Bombyx mori: one gene and its partner. Each later gene encodes a partner of the first gene's protein in a complex. Links are inferred from orthologs where the notes say so. Each region holds a gene or a part of one and is shown on either strand. Other genes may lie near its edges.

The links. The genes of interacting proteins can lie anywhere in the genome.
Region 2: COP9 signalosome complex subunit 7b (region 1) and COP9 signalosome complex subunit 8 share a complex: the UniProt entries of both Drosophila melanogaster proteins name them as parts of the CSN complex. The link is inferred for Bombyx mori from reciprocal best matches to the Drosophila melanogaster genes CSN7 and CSN8.

What each region holds. Positions count from the first base shown.
Region 1 is NC_085114.1:3,666,186-3,672,089, forward strand, and holds the start of COP9 signalosome complex subunit 7b, read right to left. Parts: upstream 3,570-5,904; 5' UTR 3,178-3,569; coding exon 2,983-3,177; intron 2,847-2,982; coding exon 2,594-2,846; intron 924-2,593; coding exon 703-923; intron 1-702. Other genes in the region: zinc finger protein 615, read left to right, coding at 4,468-4,593, 4,902-5,127, 5,584-5,873. UniProt on the Drosophila melanogaster protein: Component of the COP9 signalosome complex (CSN), a complex involved in various cellular and developmental processes.
Region 2 is NC_085110.1:11,097,396-11,099,658, reverse strand, and holds part of COP9 signalosome complex subunit 8, read left to right. Parts: intron 1-12; coding exon 13-263; intron 264-912; exon of another isoform or gene 913-1,345; coding exon of another isoform or gene 1,346-1,534; intron 1,535-2,115; coding exon of another isoform or gene 2,116-2,261; intron 2,262-2,263. Other genes in the region: chitin synthase A, read right to left, coding at 1,346-1,534, 2,116-2,261. UniProt on the Drosophila melanogaster protein: Probable component of the COP9 signalosome complex (CSN), a complex involved in various cellular and developmental processes.

The sequences.
Region 1 (5,904 bases):
AAGTGACCATTACCATCTAGTTCTACAAATAAGCTGAACAGAACTATGAATTGATAAATATTCGAAAGGTAAAAAGGATTTCGAGCAATTACAGAAGCGACACTAAACTGCTTTCTATAGACAGTGTTCTGTGCACGTAGTGCGAGTTTTTTTACTTCTCGATTGCGTAAAAGTTAACTCAAATAAGTATGAAGTTGGAACAGCGAACCTAGCGGCAAACGAAGGGACACTGTTCTAACTCCTACACGGTTAACTTTTACAAGATCGAGAAGTAAAAAAACTCGCACTAAGCATAGTGAATCGAATGCATGCTCCTTTAAACTGTGTCACTGCAGTTGTCTATGTCACATGTCTACTTATGGATCTGAATCTAATTGTATATATATGGAGGATAAAAAATAATAGTTAAGAGAATTTTGAAGACTATTTCCATCCAGAACTGTAAATATACATTTATCTTTAAAAGTGCAAGCTCTGAATTTCTTGCTGATTGATACTTTGTGGTGAACCTACATTCCGAATGGGTCATAAAGTTATGTATTTTTTTTTATTTTGAGCTTGATCAATAATAGTATTGTTGATCGAAGATTTTTATAAGAACTATATGATTTTTAGAAGGTCAAACATTGTATTTGATGATGATGTTTTTGTTTTAGGAATTGTTATATAATATACATGCACCTTAGATAATATAACACTCACCTTCTGTTCTATACCCTGCTGATGTCTGATAGCCTTCTGTTTCTGATGATTAGCTCTCTGTATGTGTTGATCTACAGAATTGAGTACTGCTTCACAAGCATTGCACCAGTCGGCCAGGACATCAGCAATGGAAGCTGCATCTTCAAGCCGCGCATCTCTGCCAAGGGCCACGTCCACTTCCACACGTTTACATTCCTGGTCCAACTTGCCGTGAATTATGTCTATGGAAGTATAGTATGTAAATTATTTCCAATTATCGTGCGAGTGGTCTATTGTAACAGTAAAATAGTTCAACATCATGTATGTATATTCAAATCGTCAAGGTATTCTACTCCTAATGAGTTTATACTGTATATCTATATATTGTTATATTGTGCATATTTAAAAAAATATCTTTTAACTAATAAGTACACTGCGGTTAATTTATTTCCTCATGTGATTCTTGTCCACTTCATGGTTATCTGGAATAGAATCCTCTTGACAATAAGACTGCCCATTCTACTTTTGTGTGATGTATGTTTTGTATTTATGTTTATATTGATGTAAAATAAAGAATACACACTATCTGTCTAATGAGGTTTTTATTGAACTTAATTTTATACAAGTAATAATTAAAAGGAATGCATTGTTAATTAGTTGCCATGGTCATAATGAGAAGTGCAAAAATGCTATTTTTAGAAAGTAATTGTTTATTGATGTTTGCTTGCTATATTCACATTCAGATTTATTTGTTTCCCTACAACTACTTACTACCACATGGAATAGATTGATCTCCCCTTCTACGAAGGTAAAAACAAAATAAAATAGTAAAAGAAAAATCAAAATAAATATATGCTTATATGGATAAATAAAAGGATGTTAAACTGTTTTCAGGGCATACAAACTCAAACAGGGAACATAACATTGACTTACTAAGCATAAGTACTTGTAATTATAAGGTAAACCAATAGTTATATTGTAAAACCTCAAATTGTAATTGAATTTTTTATGATAAAACTTTTTTTTTAATTAAGTAATTTTTTTATTGCTTAGATGGGTGGACGAGCTCACAGCCCACCTGGTGTTAAGTGGTTACTGGAGCCCATAGACATCTACAACGTAGACGCCACCCACCTTGAGATACAAGTTCTAAAGTTTCAGTATAGTTAAAACGGCTACCCCACCCTTCAAACCGAAACGCATTACTGCTTCACGGCAGAAATAGGCAGGGCGGTGGTAGATATCCGCGCGCACTCACAAGTGGTCCTACCACCAGTAATTACGCAAATTATAATTTTGCCGGGTTTGATTTTTATTACACTATGTTATTCTTTTACCGTGGAAATCAATCGTGAACATTTGTTGAGTACATATTTCATTAGAAAAATTGGTCCCGCCTGCGAGATTCGAACACCTTTGCATCGCTTCAACATGAATTAACCGGACGTCTTATCCTTTAGGCCACGACGACTTCATACCAACTTTATTCCACTAAGATGCATTAAATTATCTGAAGACATAATAGTAGGGCTCATGGCTCATGTCATTGTAGCATCAGTTTCCTATTTGTATTGGTAGCTAAATTCATTTAAGATTTAATGATTTTTTTTTATATGGACACTTTAGAAGTTATGCTTATTTAGTGTATATGTATTCTTTATCAATGCACATTTTATATATGTGGCTTTAATCTATATAAAACATGAACTAAATAAATTAGATACTACATCAAATTCGGCACTGAATTGTTTTCTCATATACACCACAAGAATAACTCGAAAAAGAAAAAAACAAGGTATAAAATGCATGTAGTCAAACTTGAATTTTAATACTGTTTTATGAATCAACAACTCTGACACTTTTTTTATTAGGGACTGTTTGTATATACACTATAGTAGGAAAATCAACTCACCTGCATAAATAGCTTCAATGATAAGATCTTCTAAATCTCTAACATTTTTAATATCCAATTCCTCAAGTAACACACTGTAAGGGATACATTTCTCTTGTGTTGCAAGTGTTGCAATGGTCAGATGCTGTAATTTCTTGCACTGGACTGTGGTTAATTCTAAATAGTCCGATTTGTTCTCAATGTAGTCCTTATATGTGCCATAGGCAAACAAATTAAGAGTTTTTAAATGAGTTGCATAAGGTCCACTCTCCAGCTGAAAAATACAATAAAATGAATTTTAACAAGAGCGCCAAATTGATTTCTACCCATAGAATTCGGACAGTTTCATACATTTAATGGTTAAAAATGTATTAGAATTAATTGATCGATATAAAGGTAAGTTTTCTAACCTCTTTAATATTTGGCATCTCTAATAGCTCGCCGAAAACATGCACTCCTGGAGCCTCCAGAACCTGTTTGATGAGTTCAGCGCACGCAGAACCTTTAGCTCCCTTTGCTAAAAGGACAAACTGTTCTAGAGGGTGATTGGAGGAAAATGATAACAATGAGGAAGGTTCATCTCGGTCCATTGACATCGGATTCATTTTGAATTTTAAGACGTCTATGTCTATTTCATAAACGGGAAATAGGTCAATTCTATATTGAATCTATATGTTAGGGAAAAAGTATCAAACTCAGATTTAAGGTTTAAACTGTTATATTTATGTACCTACCTAGGTAGGTAGGTATTTTATACTTTCTTTGGTAATTTTAAGTTGACAGTGACAGTTGATGACAGGCTGTTTCTACATTTATATTGCTAGCTGTTGATACTTTAATATTATTATTATTATACATAACGAACGGATGTATTTATTTGTAGGTTTAGTTTACTTCAAATTTGAAATCTATCATAAAATATGTATTCAATTTCCATAAAGAACATGATGGTGGCAGATTATACTTAAATCTATGAAAAGTCAGGTACTTGAGTTCTTGAAGAGCTTGTCTTAATTAGTAATATTGCAAAGAAGTCAGACTATGAGTGCATAAATTTATTACCTATGTATCAAGTAACTAAGATAAATTAAAAAATACCCCAAGAATATTGACATTTCATGTAAAGAATGTGGTGTAATTAAATCACGTAATTTTTGTTAGTTCTAAAGCGTTTAGGATGAAAAATTCAGCCAATTTAAATAGAAATTAATTCAAAAGTAGAACAGTATGCAGAGAAGTACATTTATTCATAATACCAAAAATCTTTTAGTGAAACTACAGCTTTGATTGATTAGTTATAGGGCTTAAAAAATAAACTAATTTCAAGAATTTTATAAAGTTTGTCTTTGACAAAAAAAAAACTAGAAATTTAAAAGTTTATGCTTCAGTTTTCAAATGACCATAAATAATAAAATGGCGTCAGGTTTTTTGTGTGTGCGATAAATTAATTGTTTTCATAAAAATCTGGATTTTCTCCAATTTTTTTTGACATACGAAAGTGTTTTTTATTTTATATGTAATTATGAAGCTTATAAATGCATATATGACTTCTAATAACGTACTATTTATTGTAAATAATGTGCGTGTCAATGTTCGTTGAAGCGTCGTTGTTCTGGGCCGCCTTTTATATTGGGTTGATTAAACTAATTTAGATGTCGTCTAAAGTTAAGATTCATCGTTATTTACACAGAACACCATCACAAGTTGTAAATTAGTGTTGTTTTCGCTTGATATTCGGCGTCGCTGTCAATGAGTGCGTTTTGCGTGTGTGGTTGTGAGGTCGTACATACATGTTCGCAATGATAAAACTGTCATGAGGACTGTTTACTATCAAATAGTGAATCTGTGTTAGTGCGTTTACATTTCTATGTAGTGAAGTTTATATTGTGGTGAAAATGTGTATGCCAACACCGAACAATGTTTCGGGTTTCGGTTATTCTTGGGGCTTTACGAGTTCCGCGGACCTTACCAAGGGCGATGTCGAAACTCCGAGCAGCCTCAGTTATTCGCTTGGGAGTACGGTAAGGTCTAAATAAAATAAATTAAATAACTGAAGCACTTTAGAGTAAACATTTATTGTGCACTTTAATTTCAAAGTGCATCCTCTCAAAGTTTTAACCATAAGCAAGATTGAATGAAATTAACAACAATCAGCTTTCACTTGAAGTAAATTTTCTAGTTATTTTAATATTTAGCAACAAAAAAAAGCTATTATGAAATTGTGTACTTATATGTGCTATTTTGTTTCAAAATAGGTTTCATTTCAGTAAAGACTTAAAATCATTTTATAAATAAAAACAAATAATCAACAATAAATAAAACATTTCAGGTGTCTCCAGAGACAACACTCACTGTTATGTCTCACAAGACACCGCAAGTCCAAGATAAAGTGGGTGCTGTTGCTGTGGCAGTATCCAACTCGGGGGCTCAAGTCACAAGGGTTGTCACAGCAGGAGCTCCGGTGACGGCCAGGAGAGCTATGTTTGTTCTGAATGAAGCTCCAACCCATACTATAAACAGGGTTTCACAACAAAACCAAACAGCGACAATACATAGTGGGTATTATTAACTGTTTTAAGGCTTACAATCGCTTACTAGTCAGCTTTTTGCTTATTTAGCATTAATTGCTTAAATTCAAATTAAATTTTAATTTTAAGCTTAAATTAGATAAATAAAGTTCTCTGTAAGTATTTAATACAAAATCTACTGACAGTTCTTATTTATCTATTCATACTGCACTCAGTTAAATTGACTCCTAATAACAAAATACTGATTTTATTAATGCAGATATTAGTTTTTTTCTTAGAAAAGAGAAAAATAAACTAAAACTAAAAAGTGAAGAAAATATTAAAAGCATGTTCTGTCAATTTTCTTATAGTTTCATAACAATTTTATAACATGTAAAATATAAAAAAAAGGTTAATTTGACCAATATTGTTAGGTTTCATGTTAATATTTAATAACAATAAACTTATGTGAACCAAATCAATAAAATAAATTATAAATTGCAGCAACAAATTTAACATCAAAGTCGTTTATGACTCCCCTTGGACCACTACAACTGACGGCAGAAGAGTGCAATGAAATTCTAATGAAAAGGGCACTGCAAGCTCAAGGAATAGCGACTCCTGTCATTGATGCATCACAGTTAAACCATACAATACTTAATGGTGGCTTGAAGAGTTTAACCGAAGCGAACAATCAACAGGGTCAAGCAGAAACAATACAAACAACAACAGTACAACAACATCATCTGTTACATACGAAGCAGGAACCTGGAACTACTAATAGTTCACCTAAAGTAAGAATTTTTATTTCTATAGATAGCAACA
Region 2 (2,263 bases), on another chromosome or scaffold:
TCATCTTCACAGAAAATGTTCGAGAAAGGACTCTAAACCTTATCGGAAGATCGTACAGTTCCATAAAAATAGATAAACTGATCTCAATGATTGGTCTCAGCAGGGAAGCCACATTACAAGTCTGTCAAGATCGCAGGTGGACTCTACATGATGATGGCATGACAGTGAATCCCTTACCCCCAGCACAACCAGCCCCATTGCATACTTCTAGTGAAGATCAACTTTTCAAACTAACAGAATTTGTGTCATTCTTAGAAAATTAAGTAAGTTTCGAAAATAAATCAGTTTCTAGATTAGATCTTAATTAAAATCCCAAAGTTGGCTTTGAAGTAAGCAACTCAGCCTGTAGAGTCTAAACCTTAACTCTCAACCCCTTGAGGGAAAGTGGCATTAGCTATGATAGTTAATAATACTAAATGCCTCCATTTTGTGTCATCAAATTACTTCAAGAACTGCAATAAGTTAATTGATAATTTGTTAAAATAAAACATCTTATATAAATTGCAATACTATTCTGTTTTGCAAGTTATCTTTTGCAAGTAGGTGGTGTGTTTCTAAATACCCATAAACTTTTTCAATATGAACATTTTGAATTGTAATTGGTATTAATAATAATATATCATAGATCAGATATCTATGCTATCTTTTTTAGGAAAATATTGTATTAAATAATAGATCTATAAGTTTTAGCTGAAACCCAAATAATAATACAGAAAAATAAAACACTAATCCAAATATTCATCAAAAGCTAATGAAACTTGGATAAAAAAATTACTACATAATTGCACACAAAGCAGACGGTTCTCTGTTGCATACTTCAAAGCCTGCTCTTAATCGAAAGCTATTTAATCATTCAAATATATAAATGTAGTTACAACAAAGGCACATTTTAACTAAAATTTCTGGTTTTAGGAAAATATTTCGAATTTGAGACTAAATTTGGTCTTCAGTTCATTCAATTGCGATTGCAATATCCAAAAGAACTTAGAGGTTAAAATAAAAGAATGTCATTTATATTTAATCTCATTTATTAACAAAATTGGAAGTCTATAATTGGTAAAAAAAAATGGTTTTCTTAACTTCTACTGAGATTATAATGGAATAAAAAAAAACGTAAAATAAGTTGGCAGTGTAAATTGAAAGAGCTAAATAAATTCTTAATTAAAATAAAGCTATTAATTCTAAAATAGTTTTCAGTGACTCCTTTTTACTCCAGTCACACTAGTAAATTCAAAAAGATTTTTAAAATATCACAAGCAGTTATTTTTAATTGTAATCTCATAACTCCTATCCTTTTTTAAAGTAAGAATAAGTCACTTGGGACGATTGTTTTGGCAACTCTTAGTTAAAACCTCCCTTGGAATGAAACTTGGTTTTGTCTTGGCTGAAGTCGCATGGAATTTGAGTCATCGTCGTCCCCGAGTGAGGCTTCGTAGGCCCTGTTGATCTGTCCTCCGTTGGGCTCCGAGAATACATCCTTCACTGAAATATTAGCATTCGATGCTCTATGACGAGGTCCAACGTTATTATTGAGCTGAAAATAGTACAATCATTAGAATACCATGGTTACGGAAAAACTTAATAACAATATAAATCATAAAACTAAATAATAAAATAATTAAAAATATAATATTGTTTAAATACTATACTAAATACTGATGGAGATATTTGCGGCAGGGATGGGTTTCACCATTCTGCCTATTTCTGCTGTGAAGCAAACATGTGATCCCGTGCAGTTGTGTGGTAATGTCGAAGTGTTAATACCTCATATCTGACGCATACGTGATGTTGATGGGCTGTTTTTTTTTAAGCTTAGGTGGACGATCTCACGGTCCATCTGATGTTAAGTGAGTAAGTGCGGGTTTCATTTTTATTACACGATGTTGTTCCTTCATTGTGCAAGTCAATCGTGAACATTTGTTGAGTACGTAACTCAGTACAAAAATTGGTATCGGCCTGGAATTCGAACACCGTTGCATCGCAAGATACGAATGCACTGGACGTCTTATTCTTCAGGCCACGACGACTTTAAACAACTTTAACTATTTACCACGACAGTAGGCGGACCCTCTGCCCATCTTCAGCAAAAAAAACAGCATGTTAACTATTTCATACCATTCCAGTAACACCGTATTCATTATTAGCGCCAAGTGTCTGCATTTGCGACTTCCTTCTTTCTGCCATTACAGAGTTACGACGGGTCTCTAAAGCTTTCAATGTCTCCCTTCTCAATGTCATTTTACGATTTAAAACTGGGGTACCT